Linked DNA regions of Macaca mulatta. The protein of the gene in region 1 interacts with the protein of each later gene in a biochemical or structural test. Links are inferred from orthologs where the notes say so. Each region holds a gene or a part of one and is shown in the gene's direction. Other genes may lie near its edges.

The links.
Region 2: of the proteins of MAPK3 (region 1) and SREBF2, one has a biochemical effect on the other in vitro, tested with the Homo sapiens proteins (2 studies listed by BioGRID). The link is inferred for Macaca mulatta from reciprocal best matches to the Homo sapiens genes MAPK3 and SREBF2.
Region 3: of the proteins of MAPK3 (region 1) and DUSP3, one has a biochemical effect on the other in vitro, tested with the Homo sapiens proteins (2 studies listed by BioGRID and IntAct). The link is inferred for Macaca mulatta from reciprocal best matches to the Homo sapiens genes MAPK3 and DUSP3.
Region 4: of the proteins of MAPK3 (region 1) and GAB2, one has a biochemical effect on the other in vitro, tested with the Homo sapiens proteins (2 studies listed by BioGRID). The link is inferred for Macaca mulatta from reciprocal best matches to the Homo sapiens genes MAPK3 and GAB2.
Region 5: of the proteins of MAPK3 (region 1) and DUSP1, one has a biochemical effect on the other in vitro, tested with the Homo sapiens proteins (2 studies listed by BioGRID and IntAct). The link is inferred for Macaca mulatta from reciprocal best matches to the Homo sapiens genes MAPK3 and DUSP1.
Region 6: of the proteins of MAPK3 (region 1) and ELK1, one has a biochemical effect on the other in vitro, tested with the Homo sapiens proteins (6 studies listed by BioGRID and IntAct, with this or other methods). The link is inferred for Macaca mulatta from reciprocal best matches to the Homo sapiens genes MAPK3 and ELK1.

The regions. Positions count from the first base shown.
Region 1 is NC_133425.1:28,437,172-28,441,105, forward strand, and holds the start of MAPK3 (mitogen-activated protein kinase 3), read left to right. Parts: upstream 1-1,134; 5' UTR 1,135-1,203; coding exon 1,204-1,373; intron 1,374-2,397; coding exon 2,398-2,580; intron 2,581-3,934.
Region 2 is NC_133415.1:9,594,597-9,598,096, reverse strand, and holds the end of SREBF2 (sterol regulatory element-binding protein 2), read left to right. Parts: intron 1-485; exon of another isoform or gene 486-572; coding exon 573-729; intron 730-1,175; coding exon 1,176-1,396; 3' UTR 1,397-3,028; downstream 3,029-3,500.
Region 3 is NC_133421.1:68,123,872-68,127,371, reverse strand, and holds part of DUSP3 (dual specificity protein phosphatase 3), read left to right. Parts: intron 1-1,003; coding exon 1,004-1,230; intron 1,231-3,500. UniProt on the Homo sapiens protein: Shows activity both for tyrosine-protein phosphate and serine-protein phosphate, but displays a strong preference toward phosphotyrosines. Specifically dephosphorylates and inactivates ERK1 and ERK2.
Region 4 is NC_133419.1:78,647,259-78,650,758, reverse strand, and holds part of GAB2 (GRB2-associated-binding protein 2), read left to right. Parts: intron 1-267; coding exon 268-370; intron 371-1,581; coding exon 1,582-1,707; intron 1,708-2,600; coding exon 2,601-2,744; 3' UTR 2,745-3,500. UniProt on the Homo sapiens protein: Adapter protein which acts downstream of several membrane receptors including cytokine, antigen, hormone, cell matrix and growth factor receptors to regulate multiple signaling pathways.
Region 5 is NC_133411.1:181,644,710-181,648,789, reverse strand, and holds the start of DUSP1 (dual specificity protein phosphatase 1), read left to right. Parts: upstream 1-1,280; 5' UTR 1,281-1,513; coding exon 1,514-1,880; intron 1,881-2,158; coding exon 2,159-2,304; intron 2,305-2,628; coding exon 2,629-2,848; intron 2,849-3,290; coding exon 3,291-3,661; 3' UTR 3,662-4,080. UniProt on the Homo sapiens protein: Dual specificity phosphatase that dephosphorylates MAP kinase MAPK1/ERK2 on both 'Thr-183' and 'Tyr-185', regulating its activity during the meiotic cell cycle.
Region 6 is NC_133426.1:47,658,531-47,661,999, reverse strand, and holds the end of ELK1 (ETS domain-containing protein Elk-1), read left to right. Parts: intron 1-295; coding exon 296-727; intron 728-1,361; coding exon 1,362-1,463; intron 1,464-1,548; coding exon 1,549-1,647; 3' UTR 1,648-2,969; downstream 2,970-3,469. UniProt on the Homo sapiens protein: Transcription factor that binds to purine-rich DNA sequences. Forms a ternary complex with SRF and the ETS and SRF motifs of the serum response element (SRE) on the promoter region of immediate early genes such as FOS and IER2.

The DNA.
Region 1 (3,934 bases):
GGGGATGGACTGGATGATCTCCGAGGGCCCTTTCTTCAGTTGTAACAGTCTGAGATGGACAGGTGTGATCCCAGAGCTTTGGGAGGCCGAGGTGGGAGGATCCTGTGAAGTCGGTAGTTTCAGACCAGCCTGGACAACATCGCAAGACCCAGTATCTACCAAAAAAAAATTATATTTTCTTTTTTTGAGATGGAGTCTCGCTCTGTCACCCAGGCGGAGTGCAGTGGTGCAATCTTGGCTCACTGCAACCTCCACCTCCTGGGTACCAAGCAATTCTCCTGCCTCAGCCTCCTGAAGAGCTGGGATTACAGGCGCCCACCACCATGCCCAGCTAAGTTTTGTATTTTTAGTAGTGACAGGGCTTCACCATGTTGGTCAGGCTGGTCTCCAACTCTGTCCTCAAGTGATCCGCCCTCCTCAGCCTCCAGAAGTGCTGAGATTACAGGCGTGAGCCATAGTGCCCAGTCCCCCAATTTTTTTTTTTAATTAGCAGGGCGTGGTGGAGCGCACGCATAGTCCCAGCTCTTTGGGAGGCTGAGGTAGGAGGATCACTTGACCCCAAGGAGGTTGAGAATGCAGTCAGTAAATATTGCACCACTGCACTGCAGCCTGGACGACAGAGTGAGACCCTGTCTCTAAAATAAAATAAAAACAGTCTAGGATTCTGAGAGGCATGGAATTAAAAAGAGCCTCTGTCAGAAGACATCATTTTGAGTCTCAGCTCTGTCATTACTAGTGACCTTACTCAAGTTAGTTAGCCCAACTCTCAGATTCCCCATCTGTAAAATTTGATTCATTTATTAGAACAGTTTTTTTAACCTAGGGTGATCTCGGGCCCAGGTTCTGGTGGGCTGCCGCACACATTGGCTGGGTGGCTCTGGTAGGTCACGCCCTGGCCGCTTCGCCTTCGAGAGGAGGGTGAGGACAGTCTCCGAGGCGGCGCTGCCGAGCCTCCCCGTGACTTGGTGACCGCGGAGCCAGCAGAGACCCCCGGGCTCCCGCACCTAGGGCGAGAAGGGCGGGCGCGCGCCCGGGGTGGGTCACGTGACGGCTCCAGGCCCGCGCGGGGCCGGGGGCGCGCGGGGCCGGGGCAGGGGCGGGGCCTGGAGCGCGCGGCCCTGCGGGTGACAGGCGGGCGGGAAGGGGCGGGGCCTCGGGCGGGGCCGCCGGGGGGAGGAGGGCGGCGGGAGGGGAGGAGTGGAGATGGCGGCGGCGGCGGCTCAGGGGGGCGGGGGTGGGGAGCCCCGGAGAGCCGAGGGGGTCGGCCCGGGGGTCCCGGGGGAGGTGGAGATGGTGAAGGGGCAGCCGTTCGACGTGGGCCCGCGCTACACGCAGCTGCAGTACATCGGCGAGGGCGCGTACGGCATGGTCAGGTGAGGGGGCGTTCCGGGGGAGGGGGCGCCCTCAGGGGAGGGGGCTTCACAGGAGAGGAGGGGGAGGCGCCGAGCGCTTTCCGGGACGTGGAGACGCGGAGCGTCCCGAGGAGGCAGGGGACTCGGGATGATCGGGAGCGTCCCAGGGAGGGGACCCCTGAGTGCTTTCTAGGGGAGAGGGCGCTGCCTGCGTCCTCAGGGGAGGGGGCTTGGAGGCTTTGAGTCCACCCTTCTGTAATGATGGGAGGGGCATCTGAGTGCATGTGGGGGCCCGCGGGGACCCTAGTGACACGGGGCGAGGCCCAGAGGATGAGTACTCTCGGGGAGGCGACATCCTTAGTGAAGAGGCAGTGGAGGGCCCGTTTTGGGGGAAAGGGTGTTTTGGATTCCCCCTGTGAGGCAGTGCCAGGGAGCCTGGGGTAGACGAGCCGAGATCAGGGTGGGGCAGGGCTTTGGCCCCACCACCACCACCACCAGGTGCCCAAAGAGAGATGAGGGGGCCAGGAGTGCCACTTGCATGTTTTGGGAGGGGTCTGTGAGTGCCCCCGGCCCCACCGTGAGCTCTGGGACAGCCCTGCTGCCCGCTTCCCTCACCCTAGGACCCGCCCCTGCCCTGTCCATTCTCTCCTGCCCCTCCCCTGGCTGCCGTTTTCCCAGTATTTGCTCCATGGTGTGCCCCCAGCATCTGCACCCCCGGACCTGTCTTGGGTTAAGGAACCTTTCCTGGGAATGGGGGCGAAGGGTTCAGGGCCAGTAGAATGGAAGGGGATTGAGGAGAGGGGAAGTCAGTGAGCGGTCAGTCTCTTCCTCTGTTTGTAAAGTCACCGAAGGGCCGCCTGGCTGGTCCCCAGCTTTCTCTCTGGAGATCCCAGCCCTACACAGCAGGAAGGAACCAGCATTGTTTATGATTTGACCAGAGCCAGCTCCTGCTCTCTCCCCTCCCTGCCAAGGCCTGGGTGGGGCCACCAGGCCCGGACTCCCCCTTTGTAAGGCCACAGCAGCAGCCTCTCTCCGGTCCCCTCAGCTCGGCCTATGACCACGTGCGCAAGACTCGCGTGGCCATCAAGAAGATCAGCCCCTTCGAGCATCAGACCTACTGCCAGCGCACGCTCCGGGAGATCCAGATCCTGCTGCGCTTCCGCCATGAGAATGTCATCGGCATCCGAGACATTCTGCGTGCGTCCACCCTGGAAGCCATGAGGGATGTGTATCCTTCACCTTGCCCAGTCGGCTGGTCATACACAGCCTCGGAGCTGGGCTGGGGACCCGTTGCTTGCTTTCTGTTTCCATCTTACCCACCACCCTCCAAAACAAACCCAGTAAAATAAACTTTCCTGCAGAGGAGAAGCCACAGTGTAACAGGACTTAGAGGCCTCTGATGAACCCAGGCCTGCTGCAGCCGGGCAATATGGCCTTGAGCAAGTCAGTTCTCTGCTCTGTGCCCCAAGGGGGAGGGCTAGACAGGATGGTCTCTATGGGAGTGTTGTCTTCTGACATCGGCAGTTCTGAGACATGACCCAGCTTCTGCCCACAGTCACTTCTTGCTAACAAATGGATGGTTCTTTCCTCTCTTTCCTCCTTCCCCAGACTGGAAGGGAGACAGGGAGAAAGCAAACTGTCAGCTGGGCATGGTGGCTTATGCCTGTAATCCCAGCACTTTGGGAGGCTGAGGTGGGCAGATTACCTGAGGCCAGGAGTTGGAGACCAGCCTGGCCAACATGGTTAAACCCTATCTCTACTAAAAGTACAAAAAAATTAGCAGGGCGTGGTGGCGCATGCCTGTAATCCCAGCTACTTGGGAGGCAGAGGCAAGAGAATCGCTTGAACCCAGGAGGCGGAGGTTGCAGTGAGCCAAGATCGTGCCACTGCCCTCCAGCCTGGGTAACAGCGTGAGACTCTGTCTCAAAACAAAACAAAAACAAAAAAACTGCCTTTCTTGAGGTCCTACTGCGTGTCAGGTACTATACATGCCCAATGCTTTTTTTTTTTTTTTCTATTACACCTCCCAACTACCCTATGAGATAGGCTTTGCAGCTTCATTTCAAAGATGAGGGCAGAGTGCAATGGCTTACGTCTGTAGTTCCAACACTTTAGAGGCCAAGACCAGAGGATCAGTGGAGGCTGGGAGTTCAAGACCAGCCTGGGCAGCATAGTGAGACCCCATCTCTACAAAAAATTTAAAAATTATCCAGCTTTGGTGGTGCATGACTGTAGTCCCAGCTACTTGGGATGCTGAGGCAGGAGGATGGCTTGAGCACAGGAGTTCAAGGCTGCAATGAGCTATGATTGTGCTACTGCACTCCAGCCTGGGGGACAGAACGCGACCCTGTCTCAAAAAAAAAAAAAAAAAAATGAAGAAGCTGAGGCCCAGAAAACCTAAAATCAAGTGTTTCTGTTGCTGTCTCCTCCTCCCCTCCCCCAGATGGAAACTTGTCCTTCTTAGGACTTCTCACTCAGAGCCACACCCTAATCACCTGTGGACTTGCACCTTGCCCAGGGAGGGACAGCCTAGCCTTTGTTGTCCTCCCCTGATACTGCTTTCCTAGTTTGCTGTCCACTTC
Region 2 (3,500 bases), on another chromosome or scaffold:
ACCAGGACCAGAATCCACTTGGCAGCACTGAAGACCCTCCCTGAAGACTGAGATATAAAGGCATCAAAAAGAGCTTGAGATTTTAAGAAATGGCAGACCTCGGCCTTGCCCTTCACCCACCAGTGGCTCATACCTAAGCGCTGCAGACTTTACCTGCACACCTCTAGACTCTGTTCCTTTCTAAAGATACAGAAAGAGGATACCAAACCTCTCTGGTACCAGCCCAACTGTCCCTCCTCACCCCTCTGTCCCTGTCACACCTGTCCTTTTGTCAAACTTGAAGCAGCCTCCAGGGCCTTGGGGCTTCACCCAGGACACTTGTCTGCCAGCCCCACAAGGTACATCCAGGGCTTTCTTGTCACCAGTTGGGAAAAGCAGGCCTTTTGCCTCTTTCGCCTCTCGCCTCTCGTCCTGCTCCTGCTGTTCAGCCAGGTTTCCAGCCTGGCTCACGGTCAGAGTAGGGGACAACAAAGTTCACTTTTCAGGGGTGAGCAAGGCAAGTTGGTGTGGGAAGGGATGTTATCAGGTGGCAGGCGAGATGGCTCAGGGAGAACTACCCTGGGCATAGACAGGTGGGGACCAGGGGTATGAGGGATGTCACCCCGGCGCCTCCCCAGGTGTTCCTGCACGAAGCAACTGTGCGCCTGATGGCAGGAGCCAGCCCCACCCGCACCCACCAGCTGCTGGAACACAGCCTGCGGCGGCGCACCACACAGAGCGCCAAGCACGGTGAGTCCACCACTCCCCAGCTCACAGGCTGGGCTGGGCCCTAACCCCTGGGAAGAGAGGAGGGAAGGGGCCAGCCCAACTCCCACACCTGGCAGCGGTGCCCAGCACACCTCGCCTGAGAATGAAAGAAGCCTGGGGCCGCCCTTGGTGGGCTGCAGGGGTTGGGGTGGTCATGGGTCATGCTCTGCTCAGGGAAGGAGGGTTGGGGTGGCGTCCCCACACAGGCGCACGCATCGAGCCAGGTCATGTGGGTCCATCTCAGTCCCACCATGGGCTGGCTGTGAGAGGCTGGACAAATCCACTTCTTTTCCATGGATTGGGTGGGGCAGCAGACCCCACCTCCCAGGATGGGTGTCAGTGTTCAGTGAATGAGTCTAGATAACGCCAAGGAACAGCACCGGCTTCATGGCAGACTCTCGGTTCTGACACACATCTCCTTCCCACAGGAGAGGTGGATGCCTGGCCTGGCCAGCGAGAGCGGGCCACCGCCATCCTGCTGGCCTGCCGCCACCTGCCCCTCTCCTTCCTCTCCTCCCCGGGCCAGCGGGCAGTGCTACTGGCCGAGGCTGCCCGCACCCTGGAGAAGGTGGGTGACCGGCGCTCCTGCAACGACTGCCAGCAGATGATTGTCAAGCTGGGTGGTGGCACTGCTATTGCCGCCTCCTGACCACCAGGCTCAGCCCACCCCTCCACTTCTCTCTCGGTTCCTCTCTCCCCCAGCATCCTCCCACTGAGAGAGGTGGGGAGGAGCCTTGTCATCTTAGCTGTCACCTGCCGAGGCTTCTGGGCCACCTCAGGCCAGCAGGCCCCTGGGCAGAGCCCCTTAAAGCTGCTGTCACTAGATGCCCATGGTCCAGGGCCTGGTGGGCATAAGAGGAAAGGTAGCAGGGCAGAAACTGGGCAGCTCTGACTTGATAGCAGCAGGGGGAGCTCCCAAGCTGCCAAGCCCCTGCCTCCAGCCTTCCTGAGTTTCTCTCTCCTGAACCCTACTCTCTCCTTTTTGCTTCCTCAGTTTTTATCAGGCTTCCTCTGGGGGACAGCAGTCTCTGAGCACCAGGGAGCAGTTGCCCTCAGGCCCGTGCCCGGCATGCCCTCCCCCCTTTTTATACCAATGTTTTCTACCAGTGTGCTTGGGTTTGCCATGATGCGAGGCTGAGTTGCTGTAGCGTCTTGATTCTCTCCCTGGGTCTACGTTCCCTCCCCTGTGGCTGGCTGAGCCTGCTCATTGTTTTTCCTTTTATTACACAGGACATCCAGGGGAGGAGGGGGCCCAGCCCTGGGAGGCTGGTGGGAGGCAGGGGGTAGGCCTGCAGATGGATGAAATAATGTCAGCATTTTTTAATTTTTTAAAAAAATAAATGGTATCTTATTTAATTGTCCTGTTCCTTCCCACTCCCCGCCTCCTAGGATGTCAGCCCAAGCTCAGGTTGGGCCCAGGGAGCTGGGAGAAATGAAGCCACCCATTGGGACTGGGGACCAGGTGCCTTCAGCATGGCTTCTAGGTTCCCTCCTCCCCTACCCCAGCTCCCACTTCCACAGTACAGACTGTCCCCAACTTAACAATGGTTCAACTTCAACCATGTTTCAACTTTACAGTTGGTCTTTTGGGGTATTAAATGAATTTTTTACTTATGATATTTTCGTTTATGATGGGTTTATCAGGAAGTAACCCCATGGTAAGTTGCATATCTGTATATTTTTATCACTAATTCTTGACCCAAAAATAAACCAGGGCGGCAAGGACCAACCCCTAATCCCTCCCCAGCGGCAAGCCCTTCTTTTCAGAGTGGGCAGAGGGTTGCCTATGGTGGGCACTAGGAATGAGGTCCCCTGCCTTGATGTGTGTCCTAGGAGAAAAAGTCCTACTTTTCTGGACCCCCTGGTGCAGCACCTCCCAGAGACTGTTTCTCCCAGGGCCTCCTGAGTGACAAGGGTCCTGCCTCCCTGTGCCTCGTCCTCAGGCTGGTTGTAGCAGAGGATGGGCAGGTGCCCCAGCACAGACTGGGGGGTGCTCACAACAGGGCCACCTCGATGCAGGCTGGAATGTTGTCCCTGGGGTGTGCTTGGACCCCACCTGCTTGCTTTTTCTCCTGCCCCTCCCCTACTCTCACTGTAATTTATGGACCCTGCCCACCTGCGTGTTGTGTGTATGTCCTGTGCCTTTTCTCACTGTTGTTTGGGGGTGGGAGAGGGTGGTTTTTCACTGAAAAGGGGGATACACCTATGGCTTCTTTGATGTTCAGTCAGTCACCGTGTCCCAGACATAGGTTATTCAATAAACACAGATTGGTACCACCCAGCACAAGGTGTGTGAGGGTCTGTAGTGCGACTGCTGTGGTGTCCAGCCAAGGGGCTGCGTGACTTGGCAGGCAGTGGGCCAGGGACTGAGGGCAGCCCCCCAACTGCTGAGAGGGCCCCTGGCCTCAGTCTAATGGGCCTCCCTTGCCCACCTTCTGTGCGGTGCCTGGCACACCCTCCAGCCTGGGATAAAAGGGCTGTGGGTGGCACTTCAGGGGTCACAAGTCACTGTATCCAGGTTCCAGCTTGTTCCCTGGATGTAATGCTGGCTGGCTGACAGATTTGGGGTGCTGACCATCTCCCCCACTGGGTAAGCTGCTCTTTAGTTTCTCCCTCCCTAAAGGCAGTGACCCTCTGAGCCAGGAGGCTCACTGGCCCACAAGTCAGATCCAAGTCCAGGTCCCGTGCTTCCCAGCTGGGTCACCTTGGGCAGGACCTGGCCTCAGTCTCCACTTCCACTTGTGCAGAATTGG
Region 3 (3,500 bases), on another chromosome or scaffold:
AACGGGGTTTCACCATGTTGGCCAGGCTGGTCCCGAACTCCCGACCTCAGGTGATCCACATGCCTCGGCCTCCCAGAGTGCTGGGATTACAAGTGTGAGCCACTGCACCCAGCCTTAGATCAATTATTTTGTAACCTCCCATAGTTCTGTTGGGGCCACTTACTCCCCAAGTACTAAATCACCCAAAAGAGCTTTGGAAATGTAGCTAGTGGAAGGTGGTAGGTAGGATCCCTCTAGGGGGCAGGGAGGGGGCTGCCTGGCGCGTGACAAATTTATTTTTCTACACTCATTCACCACTTATTTATTCAGCACCTACTATGTGGCAGGTACTATAGCAGGTGGTGGGGAAACAGACTTAAAGCAGACATGGTTCCTCTCTCAAGGAGCTCAAAGCCTGGATGTCTAAACACAGAAGCACAATCAAGCATTAGAATTGTAGTGCTCACTACCATGTCCGGCTCTGTCAACGGAATAGCCCATTTAATGCTCATAAGAACCTCAGGGAGAAGGCACTGTTATCCCCATTTTACAGAGAGGGAAACTGAGGCACAGAAAGGTTAAATGGCTTCTTAAGGTTGCCTGGCTAGTACCTGGGCTGGGTGCAGACCCAGTTAGTCTGGTTCCAGAGCCCATTTGTAACCAGTTGGCTATGTACACCCCCACCACAGCTTAGGGAGCATGGGGCCAAATGGAATGGAGGGGAGACAAACACTGCAGAGGGTGTGAAAGATGAGAGGGCGCATTTCTCCAGAAAAGGTGGGAAAGAGCATTCCAGAGGGAACAGCATGGCTATGAAACCACCAGTCTATTTGGGGAAGCTGCTGGCAATTCGATATGGCCAGAGTCAGGGAGGAGGTCATAAGTTGAGGCAGGAGAAGCCGGCAGGGGCCAGAGCATGGAGGGGTTCCTTGCTTTGCCAAGAGGTTTAAATCCTCCTTCATCTTCCTCCCCCTGGGGCTGCCATTTGGTTGGTTAATCATCCCCACCATTGTCTCCCGTCCAGGTCTGTGGCTCAGGATATCCCCAAGCTGCAGAAACTAGGCATCACCCATGTTCTGAACGCGGCTGAGGGCAGGTCCTTCATGCACGTCAACACCAATGCCAACTTCTACAAGGACTCCGGCATCACCTACCTGGGCATCAAGGCCAATGACACACAGGAGTTCAACCTCAGCGCTTACTTTGAAAGGGCTGCTGACTTCATCGACCAGGCTTTGGCTCAAAAGAATGGTAAGCGACCTCCCGCCAGGAAAAGATGGGAGGCAGCTTTGACTAGACTATCCCTCTGGAAAACAGGCCCACAACAGGTGTCTTCTTGGAAACCTCCTTGTTTCCCATCTTCTGGGGTGAATGACAGAGCTGTAGGTCTCTCTCTGCTCACCTGGCTGCCTGTCAAGTGGCCCCATGTGTCACAGGATGTGCAACTCATTCACACCGTGGCAGCCCCAGGGTCCTTGCATTTGATTGCACTTTGGCTGGAGGTTGGTTTCCAGTTGCTTACACATCCCCCATTCGAACAGCTGTAACGATGAGGAAGACGTGTTCATGTGTTCATGTGCATGGCAGGAAGTCCTGAGGTGAAAGAGCATAGGGGCTGGTTGATTCAGCAGTTCCGTGGTAGCATCTGGACCAGGCCCTTTCCCTTTCTCTCTTCTGCCACCTCAGTGTTGGGTGCTCCCGTCCTGGTCCCAAGATGGGATCCGGTCACCACATCCAAGCAGGACAAAGTACAGCAGATGAGACACTGCAGCTATCTCTTCCCACCTTTTCTCTCTCTCTCTCTCTCTCTTTTTTCTGAGACGGAGTCACACTCTTGTTGCCCAGGCTGGAGTGCAATGGCGCGATCTCGGCTCACCGCAACCTCCACCTCCTGGGTTCAAGTGATTCTCCTGCCTCAGCCTCTTGAGTAGCTGGGATTACAGGCATGTGCCACCACGCCTGGCTAATTTTGTATTTGTAGTAGAGATTGGGTTTCACCATGTTGATCAGGCTGGTCTCGAACTCCTGACCTCAGATGATCCGCCCACCTCGGCCTCGGCCTCCCAAAGTGCTGGGATTACAGGCATGAGCCACCGCACCCAGCCACTCTCTCTTTTTTAAAGAGACAGGGTCTTGCTACATTTTCTAGACTGGTCTCCAACTCCTGGCCTCAAGCAATCCTCTCACCTCAGCCTCCTGAATAGCTGGGACTACAAGCCCATGCCACCATGCCTGGTCTCTCTCTTTTTTTAAGAACAAGTAAAACATTTCCCAGAAATTCCCCTCACATCTCATTGGCTAGAGATTCATGTGACTGCCTGGCAAGGGGAAAAGGGGTAGCTGTGGTCGGCTTAGGTTGGCAGTCAGCAAACCACAGCCCCCCCAGCCAAATCTTCCAGCCACTTAAAAAACACTTTCTGCAGCCCCCAAAGGTAAGGTAAGACTGAAGGAGAACTACCAAGGTGCTGGCAGTCACCAAGGCGTTACAGCAAGAAACCCTAGAAGGCCACAAAGCAGACATCAGCTGAGCAGGCTGGGCCACTCGCCCTTTCTCCCTTTCTGCTTTTAGCTATTTCTCTCAGCTCCTCCCTTAGCCTCTTCCTCCCTCCCCACCCCAAACCCTCCCAGCGGAGGGGACCCCCATGAGGTGTGATCAGCCTTGGCTCTACTACTCTGATGATTCTTGGGCCCAGCAACCTCACCGTCTGAATTATTTCCAGTAAACACAATTTTCTAGACCACTGGACAGTGCACGCTCAGGGCTCAGAGAGAAGCTTTACTGTGGGAGTATCTGCAGACTTTGCTGACAGGCCCCTCATGGTCCTTGCCGGTCACTGTCACCCCCCACCCTGCCCACGCCCTCCACTCCAGCTGTACTGAGCTCCTCACCCTGTGTAGACATAGGCTGAGTGAAGGGGAAGGATTTTGTTGTTCTCATGTAATATCAATTGGTCATTCATTCAGGGAATTTCAAGCTCTCTGACTTTGTTTCCACTTCCCAAAACCTAGGAACATTCTCTTTTTTTGACCTCCTGTCTCAGTCCAGGTGTGCTGGGTCTTCAGTCTGAAAAGTTCTCTATGCCTCTCCCTACCCGGTCCTCTGGCAAACTCCACCTCGTCCTTGGCATGGTGTCCTCTCTTCCATGAAGCCTGCCCACAGGCTGGGTCCACTTTGTTCCTTGTCCGTCTCCTTAGCACATAGTAGGTACACCACAAATGATTAATGAGCAAGTGATGAAGAATTCCATGGGCTCTAATGCCAAGTATAAATGCTTCCAAGAATGAGTGGCTAAGTGAGTCAACAGAAACATGCTGGCCTCCGACAGGGAGTGGGGTCCAGGGACCCATCACTGAGAGCTAGGTGGGATGGCTGAGGATGCTCAAGAGGGAGCAGTCACTTCCAGCTGGGAAAACCAAGGGAGGCTTCATGGAGGAGGTGGCATCTGGGCTGGGCTTAGAGGAATGGGAGGTTGAACTGGCCCCTTTTCCAGTAGGCTCTGTGTGCACTGGGCATGCAAAGT
Region 4 (3,500 bases), on another chromosome or scaffold:
ATGGTAGCTGGCCTGTGGGCCAGGACAGCTGGATTCTGATGCTAACGCTATCATTAGCTGATCATGTCTCTTGATCTCTTGTGGCTTGGTTTCCTCAGCTATAAAAGAGAATAATTATACTTGCCCTATATCAGATCTTAATCTGATGGAGTGTGCAGCTCTAATGGCTGAGGTCTGGGTGTGTGAGGGTCAGGGCTCAGCTGTAGGCTAGAAACAGGGCAGCAGCCACGCTGCTTCCCCAGTGTTGATTCTTCCTTCCCACAACAGCCACACCTTCAACTCCAGCTCCTCCCAGTACTGCCGCCCCATCTCCACCCAGAGCATCACCAGCACAGACTCAGGAGACAGCGAAGAGAACTACGTCCCTATGGTGAGTCCTTCGGGCTTCGCTGGAATGACTCCTATCAAAGTCCCCTGGGACCCACCGCTCAGTTCCCCACTTCCCAGCTTAGCTAATTCACCTCTGCCCAGGGACTCCTTGTATTATTCATGATTTAGTCTCCTGCTACAAACCCTTCTTGAGCACCTATTTATCAAGCAGTAGGAGTTGTCATCAGATGTAAGGAAGACATGAGACCTGTCCCAACGAAGTCATGGTCTTCAAGGGCAGGGGCCTGCCTCTCTCATGACAGTGACACAGGTGGCAGGATCTGTGTGCCCTTGGATAGTCAGTGCTGGAGGTATCTCCTCAGCGGTGAGAGGCATACATGCACATAACTCACTTTGGTGAGGCCGTAATAGAGCTATCAGCACAGGCAGAGGAGGATATTTCTTCCCTGAGATTTCCATTAAGGGCATAACTGCCCAGCACCTGGTAGTCACTGTGCATAGACAGTGAAAGAATGAATTACCAACCAATAAAGCAGCCAACAAACAGAACACAGGACTATCACCTTCTCATTAGAATAAGACTTCAGGAAAGTCCTAGAGGAGGTGGTGCTTTGCTACAGCAGGAGTCTGGATGGACAGGATCCCAGAGTGTGTCATCTGAAGAAATGCGGGCTTTGTGCAGCCTGGAGATAAAGCCTGTTCAGATCTTGGAGGAGCTAGGTGGGGGAGCAAGCTGCTTTGGGGTGACTACCCCACTCCAGGCCACAGGTGGGAGTTTCAGAGGGGCTGATTTGGTGCAACAGAAGAAAACTTTCCAATGCATAAAGGAAATGTGCTCCCTTCTTAAGCGCCAGCAAGCAAAGGCTGGGTGTCTCAGGAGAGCCCCTGTTGATGAGACTTGGCCTGATGTGCTATAAAGGAGACAGTGTGGCACAGGGGTTAGCACAGGTTTGGAAGTCAGAAAATAGACCTGATTCCCATCACTCAGCAGCTGTGCAACTACAGGCAAAGTCACTTCTCTGAAAGTAAAGTGAACCACAGTTTCATATTTGTTTTAAACAATATCAACAGTAATCATACCTACATTACAGGATTGTCATGAGGACTAAAATGAGAACATGAAAAGTCCTTAGCATGATGCATGAGTCAGAGTAGGGCTCAGGGAACCAGTGTTCTTACTCCCAGAGGTATTTTTCTGGGTGGTGGGTTAGTCTGTTCTCTACACTCACGGATTTTTCCTCCTCGTGACAGCAAAACCCAGTGTCTGCATCTCCCGTTCCCAGTGGCACCAACAGTCCTGCCCCTAAGAAGAGCACCGGCAGCGTCGATTATCTGGCCCTGGACTTCCAGCCGAGCTCCCCAAGCCCCCACCGCAAGGTGCCTGGAGTAGAGGTTGGGGGGACAGTAAGAGCTCTCAGGGCCCCAGAGGCAGAGATCATGGAGGTCAGGGTGCCTTCAACACTGAACAGCAGCACTCAGCCTCCCTCCTGCTCCAGTACCTAGCTTTTATGATGCATCTTTAGTCAGAGCTTTCACCTAGGTCTAAAGACTCCTATTCCTGCTCTCAGAGCACAGTACCCTCAAAGAACCTCATCAGTCAGCCCACCCCCCGTGTTGTAGAGATGGGCAAATGAGTGCATAGAGATCTGATTGTGCTAAACAAAGTGAATCAGCAACAGATCCAGGAATGAGGATACTGCCTCCTGGTCCTGGGCTCTTAGGTGTGTCCCAGAGCCCTGCCGTCAATACATCAGCCTTCACAAGGGACTTCCAGGCCTGGGAAAGCCTCCCCAGGAGGTACCCTTAGCTAAGCAGTCTAGACAGCAGGGTGCAGAGCTGTGCCTCAGCATGGTTCCCCTTCACAGGGTGGCGGTGAGCACAGCACGTAAAGTCCTGTGGCTGGTGCTTGTTTACACCCAGCAAAGTCCTTCCCCTGGATGAGCAACCTGACAGAGATGGGTGGAGGCAGAGATGAAGGCCTGGACCCATCCACCAGGGCCAAGGAAGGGCCTGGGTCGTCCCAGGAGCCGGGAAGTAAGAAGGGCTGGCAGGGGCTGCCGCATCCTGCAGGAGGGATAATGAGTTTGGAGTCTGAGCTTTAAAGCCCACATTCAGAAAGAGAAGCCAGGCTCCTGAGGCTGGTCAGTGGCAGGCAGAGGCCATGCTCTTCTCCCCTTCAGACAGCTCAGGAAGATCCCACGCCCATCTTCTTCCTCCCCACCTAACTGGTAACTCACAGCTACTCCCTCTTTCCCACTCTGTCCCCTCAGCCATCTACTTCATCTGTCACTTCTGATGAGAAGGTGGACTATGTTCAGGTGGACAAGGAGAAGACCCAGGCCCTGCAGAACACCATGCAGGAGTGGACAGACGTGCGGCAGTCCTCGGAGCCTTCCAAGGGTGCCAAGCTGTGACGAGAGGGCCACCGCAGAGCCCAGGGAGGGGCCAGGAGGCAGCGTCTCCAGAGCTGGCCCTTCACATCTCCCCTACCCCTCTCCCCTCTCCCATTATTCCTTCCATTCACCTCCTCTCTACTCTGCCAGTCTCAGCCTTCAAAGCACTTGACATCAGGGACCCTGAACCCTTCCCCTGGGAGGTGAGGGCCTGATCAAGGCACCTTCTCTGCCCACTCGGGGCCCAGCTGTGATTTTTATCAGTAATGGCCATGCCTCCACCCACCTTAGTTAGGAGCTATTGCCAAAAAGCATCCTTCAGCCTTTTCCTGTCCTTTAGACCTGACTATCTACCAGATGTTTGGAGGGAAGGGCTGGGGCTCTGAGCCAGATTCCACACCTCACGTTCAGTCACAGCCCTCAGCTATCTTCCCTCCGGCCACTGGGCTACCTCTCCTTCAGTCCCAGAAGACAAGTCTCACCGACCCAGGGAGTCAAGGACCAGCAGACCAAAGTGGATAATGGACTTTTTCATTCCTGTTTTTCTTGGCAGGAGAGAAGCAAGGCCACTAAAAGAGGAGATGGTGGAGAAGGAGGCCCAGCAGTGGTCTTGAGGGGTAAAGGACTTAGATGCCCAGATGCAGAGGGAAAGCTGACATCTGCAGGGACCCCCACTTTCAGGCTAAGGCCATGGCAGGACAGCTGCTGTGGGGTGCACAGGCGGAGGATGAAGGACAAAAGGAAGGGAAAACTGATGATGGCCAACCTAGAGAAGCA
Region 5 (4,080 bases), on another chromosome or scaffold:
TCCAGGGGGCCGTCACTGGGACTCAGGGCATGGATATCGCTGGGCGTTGGGGGCGGGGGGTCTTCCCAAGCGTTGCGATCCATGTCCTGGCAGTCCGCCCACAACGGCCCGGGATTGGATTTTGCCTTCAGCCTATAACGGAAGCGACGACAGGGAGCGAGGGTTGGGGCCGGCTTCTGTTCCGGGTTGGAGCCCCCCAGCCCAGCGCTTAGTGGGCGCTCACTCAGTATACTGCCTATTTGTGTAATAAAGGGATGGAGAAGCTCGGTCTGGAGCCAAGGTGACAGAAACGTGTCGGGCGGCCCCTGGGGGGAGCCGTCGAGTCGCGCTGCGGGTCGCCCCTCACCCCTCCAAACGCCAAACCCGGGAATCCACCGCGGGGCCTTGCGACCCCCGACCGGGATTTCAGCCCCTTGACCTGCCTTCCTTGGCTCCAAGTCTTCCAGGGGCCACAGACTAGGAATAGCATTATTTCCCGGTGGGGGTTTGCTCGCTTACACTTTCATGGCAAATGTAGATATTTTAAAGCCACCTTAAAGAAAGTCGGGGAAACAGGAAAGCATTGCCCTGAACCTCTCCGCCCCAACTCGCTCGAGTCGTTTTTGGTAGGAACGACTTTTCTATCGGCAGAGCTGTTCATTTTTCTCCAAACTTCATCTTAGGCGCCTCTGTGCTGCCCCACGCGCCGCCCCACCCCACACCCCAGTAGTGTGGTTCTGGGCAAGTCAGTAGCTTCGCTTGGGGAACCTCAGTTTCCCCGCCTGTTAGTGATGAGGAAATGAGAGAAAGGGGCACAAGAGTATGCAAAAGCGCAGGAAGCCCCTTTCGGCTCAGGTCGAAGGCCGAGGGGCACGGGGAAGGGGACTCGGGGAGGGAGAGACGGAGGAGCGGCGAGGCCAAGGCAGGTGGCACGTCGCCCATTCTCCCGGCCGCTCGCATCCCAGAGGTCAGCCTCAGCTGGCAGCGAGCCCTCCGCCTCCCCGCTGGGCCCGGAGCGCGGCGCGGGCCCAGTCCCTGGGGACGCGCCAAGAGCAGGCCGGACGGCAGGGCGGGGGCCGGGCCGCGAGCCAGCGCGCAGCAAGCGGACCCAGCTCCGAGGCTGATGACGTCTTCCCCTGTAGCTCGGCGGCGCCGGGCCGGGCAGGGCGGGTGACGTCACCGCCCCGTCACGTGATCACCATTCAAACAAACACCCTCCTCCCCCTGCGCGCGGGTCAGGCCCGCCCCGTCGCCCAGAGGCCTCATATAAACGAGCTCCCCGGATAGGGCTCGCTGCGAAGGACGTTCGGGCTGTGTGTGCGACGTGGTTCGAAGGGGCAGTCGGGGCAACCGCGAAGAAGCCGAGGAGCCCAGAGCCCCGCGTGACGCTCCTCTCTCAGTCCAAAAGCAGCTTTTGGTTCGGCGCAGAGCGACCCGGGGGTCTAGCTTTTCCTCGAAAGGCGCCGCCCTGCCCTTGGCCCCGAGGACAAAGAGCACCGCAGGGCTGATCACGCTGGGGGCGCTGAGGCCGGCCATGGTCATGGAAGTGGGCACCCTGGACGCTGGAGGCCTGCGGGCGCTGCTGAGGGAGCGCGCGGCGCAATGCCTGCTGCTGGACTGCCGCTCCTTCTTCGCCTTCAACGCCGGCCACATCGCCGGCTCTGTCAACGTGCGCTTCAGCACCATCGTGCGGCGCCGGGCCAAGGGCGCCATGGGCCTGGAGCACATCGTGCCCAACGCCGAGCTGCGCGGCCGCCTGCTGGCCGGCGCCTACCACGCCGTGGTGTTGCTGGACGAGCGCAGCGCCGCCCTGGACGGCGCCAGGCGCGACGGCACCCTGACTCTGGCGGCCGGTGCGCTCTGCCGCGAGGCGCGCGCCGCGCAAGTCTTCTTCCTCAAAGGTACGCCCTCGGGGAAGCTCGGGGCGGGCCGCACACCCCTGAGATTTTGCCCGGTACCCTCGGCTCTTGGCTCCCGGGGGGTCGCCCCACCTGCAGCGCGTGGGCGCTGGAGTACATTTATCTCTGGAACTTGTCATTGGCTTTGTTTGGCTCTGGGAACAAAGACTTGCCTGGGCCTTTCCGCTGTAAACTTCCAGCCCTTGGTGGGTGGGGGAGTCGTATGAAGGTGCCCTGTCCCGGCGTCACTGAGGAAAAAAAAAATGTCTTTGTATTCCCAGGAGGATACGAAGCGTTTTCGGCTTCCTGCCCGGAGCTGTGCAGCAAACAGTCGACCCCCATGGGGCTCAGCCTTCCCCTGAGTACTAGCGTCCCTGACAGCGCGGAATCTGGGTGCAGTTCCTGCAGTACCCCACTCTACGATCAGGTTAGTAGGTGTCCCTGCCACAGGGGAGAAGTAAGAACTGGCAAAGGCACGGAGGAGTGGTGCCAGGGAGAATATAGAAAGTGACCTGCAGCATTATTTATAACGGAGGGGACACAGGGATATGATTGTAGGCTCTACAGAAATGAATTTGCTGGTCCTGCCCAGGCAAATGGGCTTAGTTCCCTATTTATTTATCCTCCAGCAACAGAACTGAGTTCACTCGCTATCTGAAATTGACTTTTCCAGCAGAAAGTTTTTGTGGGTGTGGGCACTGGCCTTGGCTTTGAGCGAGCTTGATGAATGTTGGATATTTCTGGATTTCAGGGTGGCCCGGTGGAAATCCTGCCCTTTCTGTACCTGGGCAGTGCCTATCACGCTTCCCGCAAGGACATGCTGGATGCCTTGGGCATCACTGCCTTGATCAACGTCTCAGCCAATTGTCCCAACCATTTTGAGGGTCACTACCAATACAAGAGCATCCCTGTGGAGGACAACCACAAGGCAGACATCAGCTCCTGGTTCAACGAGGCCATTGACTTCATAGGTAAATGGAATGGATGCCTGGGGCTTTTCTGCCTCTCTCTTCTCATTTTAGCCCCTAAGCCCAACCTCTGTGGCAAGAGCTTGAAGTCTTATGAGCCTTCTTCCAGACATTCAGTATCAGTCTGGTGTGGGCAACATTCCTGCAAAATGTGAATTTGATTCAATGTCCCACTTTACAGATTTGCAAACTGGGGCTCACAAAGTTGAATTGACTGGTGTGAGATCTATCTGCTGAGTGGAAATCCCCAGTCTGAGTTTAAATCCTGTGCCATCCTTTGCGCAGTGCCCAAGTTGCTTCCATGAACAGTAGCCATGTGATGGCGTGTGGTGATGTTGACCATTTCTAGACAAGACACACATGACCTTTCTCAGATACACTGTACCTGGGCTTGGGGTGGTTCTCCTGAGCTCTCCAGTAACCAGCCGCTCCTTTTGTTTTCTAGACTCCATCAAGAATGCTGGAGGAAGGGTGTTTGTCCACTGCCAGGCGGGCATTTCCCGGTCAGCTACTATCTGCCTTGCTTACCTCATGAGGACTAACCGAGTCAAGCTAGACGAGGCCTTTGAGTTTGTGAAGCAGAGGCGAAGCATCATCTCCCCCAACTTCAGCTTCATGGGCCAGCTGCTGCAGTTTGAGTCCCAGGTGCTGGCCCCACACTGCTCGGCAGAGGCTGGGAGCCCCGCCATGGCTGTGCTCGACCGAGGCACCTCCACCACCACTGTGTTCAACTTCCCCGTCTCCATCCCTGTCCACTCCACGAACAGTGCGCTGAGCTACCTTCAGAGTCCCATCACGACCTCTCCCAGCTGCTGAAAGGCTGTGGGAGGTGAGGCTCTTCACATCCCACTGGGACTCCAGGCTCCTTGAGAGGAGAAATGCAGTAACTCTGGGAGGGGCTCGAGAGGGCTGGTCTTTATTTATTTAACTTCACCCGAGTTCCACTGGGTTCCTAAGCAGTCGTTGTGATGACTTAGCGTCAAGACATCTGCTGAACTCAGCACATTCGGGACCAATATGTAGTGGGTACATCAAGTCCCTCTGACAAAATGGGGCAGAAGAGAAAGGACTCAGTGTGTGAGCCAGTTTCTTTTTGCTCGCTCCTGTTTTTTGTAGAATCTCTTCATGCTTGACATACCTACCAGTATTATCATTCCCGACGACACATATACATATGAGAATATACCTTATTTATTTTTGTGGAGGTGTCTGCCTCCACAAATGTCATTGTCTAC
Region 6 (3,469 bases), on another chromosome or scaffold:
GTTGCTGGTTCAGAGGAAGGTAAATTTTTGAGAACCACTGTTTTAATGAATGAGGATGATATCCCTCAGATTCCCACCTGCTTCAGGTTGTCTTACCCCAAGTCCCCTGTCCCATAGGAGGACTTGCCCCAGAGGAAGCCCTACTTCCTTGATGAAGTCCTATGTCCTGTTGGAGAACCTGCTCTGATGTCCCCAGTACCAAGTGCCACTTTCCCGGGGAAATCACTGGGTAGCCCACAGGAGAATCCTGTGGCCCCAACAATCCTTACCCTCTTTGTACCTGCTCCTCTCCCAGGTCATCCTGACTCCGCCCGAGGCCCCAAACCTGAAATCGGAAGAGCTGAATGTGGAGCCAGGTTTGGGCCGGGCTTTGCCCCCAGAAGTGAAAGTGGAAGGGCCCAAGGAAGAGTTGGAAGTTGCCAGGGAGAGAGGGTTTGTGCCGGAAACTACCAAGGCCGAGCCAGAAGTCCCTCCACAGGAGGGCGTGCCAGCCCGGCTGCCCGCGGTTGTTATGGACACCGCAGGGCAGGCGGGCGGCCACGTGGCTTCCAGCCCTGAGATCTCCCAGCCACAAAAGGGCCGGAAGCCCCGGGACCTAGAGCTTCCACTCAGCCCAAGCCTGCTAGGTGGGCCAGGACCCGAACGGACCCCAGGATCGGGAACTGGCTCCGGCCTCCAGGCGCCTGGGCCGGCGCTAACTCCATCCCTACTTCCTACACATACATTGGTGAGTGCCTGGGGAGGTGTGGGATGGGTGGGTGCCAACCCCAATGGGACTGGCATGTGGCAGGTGACTAACGGGAATCAGAGGAGGGCGAATGTGGTTGTCCCTGAAGAGGGTGGAGCCTTCGAGTGTGATTGACTGGGCTGACGCTGGACTGGAGGGATGGGGTTTGATTAGTGAAGGGCAGGGCTGCGGACTTTTGTGGGTGGGACCAAGGGGCTTTCTGTGGGACTGTTTCTGGGTTGGGGTGTGGCTTAAGGAACCTGAGCAGGGCTTTTTGGTCTGGGATTTGCATATGGGATTTCACGGGTGGGACATGAGTTAGAAGTTGACCCTGAGCTGTTTGGATGGTGACTTGAGAGGTTTGAGAGCAGCATTTGGATAGGGTCTTGTGGGTCGTCTTGACCAATGAGGTCTCTAACTGAGGGTGGGCTCTCGGGAATAGGGAGTGGGGGGTGTATACGGAGTTTGAGAGATTGTAGGCATGGCCTCCATAGTTACCATCTAGGTGTGTGCACTTTGGGGAGTGACCCTGGGAGTGTGAGTGGGAATCTGTGGTGGGGCTAGGCCCAAGTCCCTTCCAGCATCCCACATCTACTCTCTACTCACTTGAGCTCCGACCACCCTCTCCCCACAGACCCCGGTGCTGCTGACACCCAGCTCGCTGCCTCCCAGCATTCACTTCTGGAGCACCCTGAGTCCCATTGCGCCCCGTAGCCCGGCCAAGCTCTCCTTCCAGGTAGGATCCTCTTTCCCCATTTTGGACAGGGTGACAGACCCAAGAATGGCCCCCATCTGTGACCTCTCCCTCTTTTTACCCCCAGTTTCCATCCAGTGGCAGCGCCCAGGTGCACATCCCTTCCATCAGCGTGGATGGCCTCTCGACCCCCGTGGTGCTCTCCCCAGGGCCCCAGAAGCCATGACTACTACCACCACCACCGCCACCACCACCACCCCTCCTTCTGGGGTCACTCCATCCATGCTCTCTCCAGCCAGCCATCTCAAGGAGAAACATAGTTCAACTGAAAGACTCATGCTCTGATTGTGGTGGGGTGGGGATCCTTGGGAAGAATTACTCCCAAGAGTGATTCTCATTATCTCCTCCACAGAAAACACACAGCTTCCACAACGTCTCTGTTTTCCGTCAGTCCCCCAGTGGCCGCCCTTACACGTCTCCTACATCAATGGTAGGGGCGGTTTATTTATTTATTTTTTGAAGGCCACTGGGAGGAGCCTGACCTAACCTTTTAGGGTGGTTAGGACATCTCCCCCACCTCCCCACTTTTTTCCCCAACACAAGACAATCGGGGTCTGGCTTGAGAACGACCTTTCTTTCTTTATTTCTCAGCCTGCCCTTGGGGAGATGAGGGAGCCCTGTCTCCATTTTCAGATGTGAGTAGAAGAGTTAGTTTGTTTTGTTTTATTATTCCTGGCCATACTCAGGGGTCCAGGAAGAATTTGTACCATTTAATGGGTTGGGAGTCTTGGCCAAGGAAGAATCACACCCTTGGAATAGAAATTTCCACCTCCCCAGCCTTTCTCTCAGACAGCTTATCCTTTTTCAACCAACTTTGGCCAGGGAGGAATGTCTCTTTTCTTCTTCTTCCCCCTGAAAAGCCATTCCTTTGTCTGCCAACCTCCCTGGGGTCCTGCCTGTTTCCTCCCAATGGAGGGTTTTTTTGCGGGGTGGTCCCCGTCTGGGGGGCCCCTCCAGCCAGTTCTCCAGGTCTCCCTGTCTCTCCCCCGCTGCCATTTTGATAGTATAATCTATTTTTAAATGGGGCTTTTCAATAGGGGAGAGGGAGTCATCTCTTCCTATATTTGGTGGGGTGGGTGGGAAGGAAGGGATTTGGGGGGGAATCTTCCTGCCGCCTCCCCCCTCCAAGTGTTTATTTTTGATACCAAACGTGTATTTTCAGTTCCCTCCCTCCCAGCCCCCCAATTTCCTGCGGGCGGGTACAAAGGACCCTTTCAATGTCCCTGGAGTTGGGAGGGAGGAATGGGGGACATAAAGCCTGTCCTGTCTCTATTCTAGGCAAGAGAGAGCGGGTTCAAAAGACTCCCGGGCTCACCTGTTAGCGCTGGCCCAGCCCAGGCCTCGGGACCTGGGGGTTGGTGATTTGGGGGACGGTGCTACACTCGTCTCCACTGTTTGTTTTACTTCCCCGAAATGGACCTTTTTTTTTTCTAAAGAGTCCCAGAGACTGGGGAATTGTTCCTGTAAATATATATTTTTCAAAGTGATGCTGGAGGCTGCTGGCACTTTTTCTCTGATGTTGTAAGGACTAGCTGAGTGTGACAAGCATGACTGTGTGGAAGGCGTGAGGCAGAGGTTGATGGTGAGAGAAGTGGTGTGATGGCGTGTGTGAGAAACAGTAGTAGGGACTGCATATTGGTAACCGTGTGTGTCAGAGATGTGGAAAGCTGTGATTGTGTGTGAGAGAGTACAGAAGTTGTGACCACAGACTTTTGATGGTGTGTCTCTGTGGGAAATCGCGGCCGTGTTTCAGAAAATAACTGAGCCTGGACGAGTAGTCAAGGTACTGTACAAGAACCTGTGATGGTATGCACAAAATAATATCTACGAGAAGAGAGTGGGGACTGCAGCCCCATCAGTGTTTGATGGTGAGCAAGACAGACCGAGTGACCCAAACCGCATGTGAGAGACTACGTGGGCATGAAACTACAGTAGAGGTTGTCAGGGATTGTGGCAAAGATTGTATAGGTGACAAACCTCATTATAGG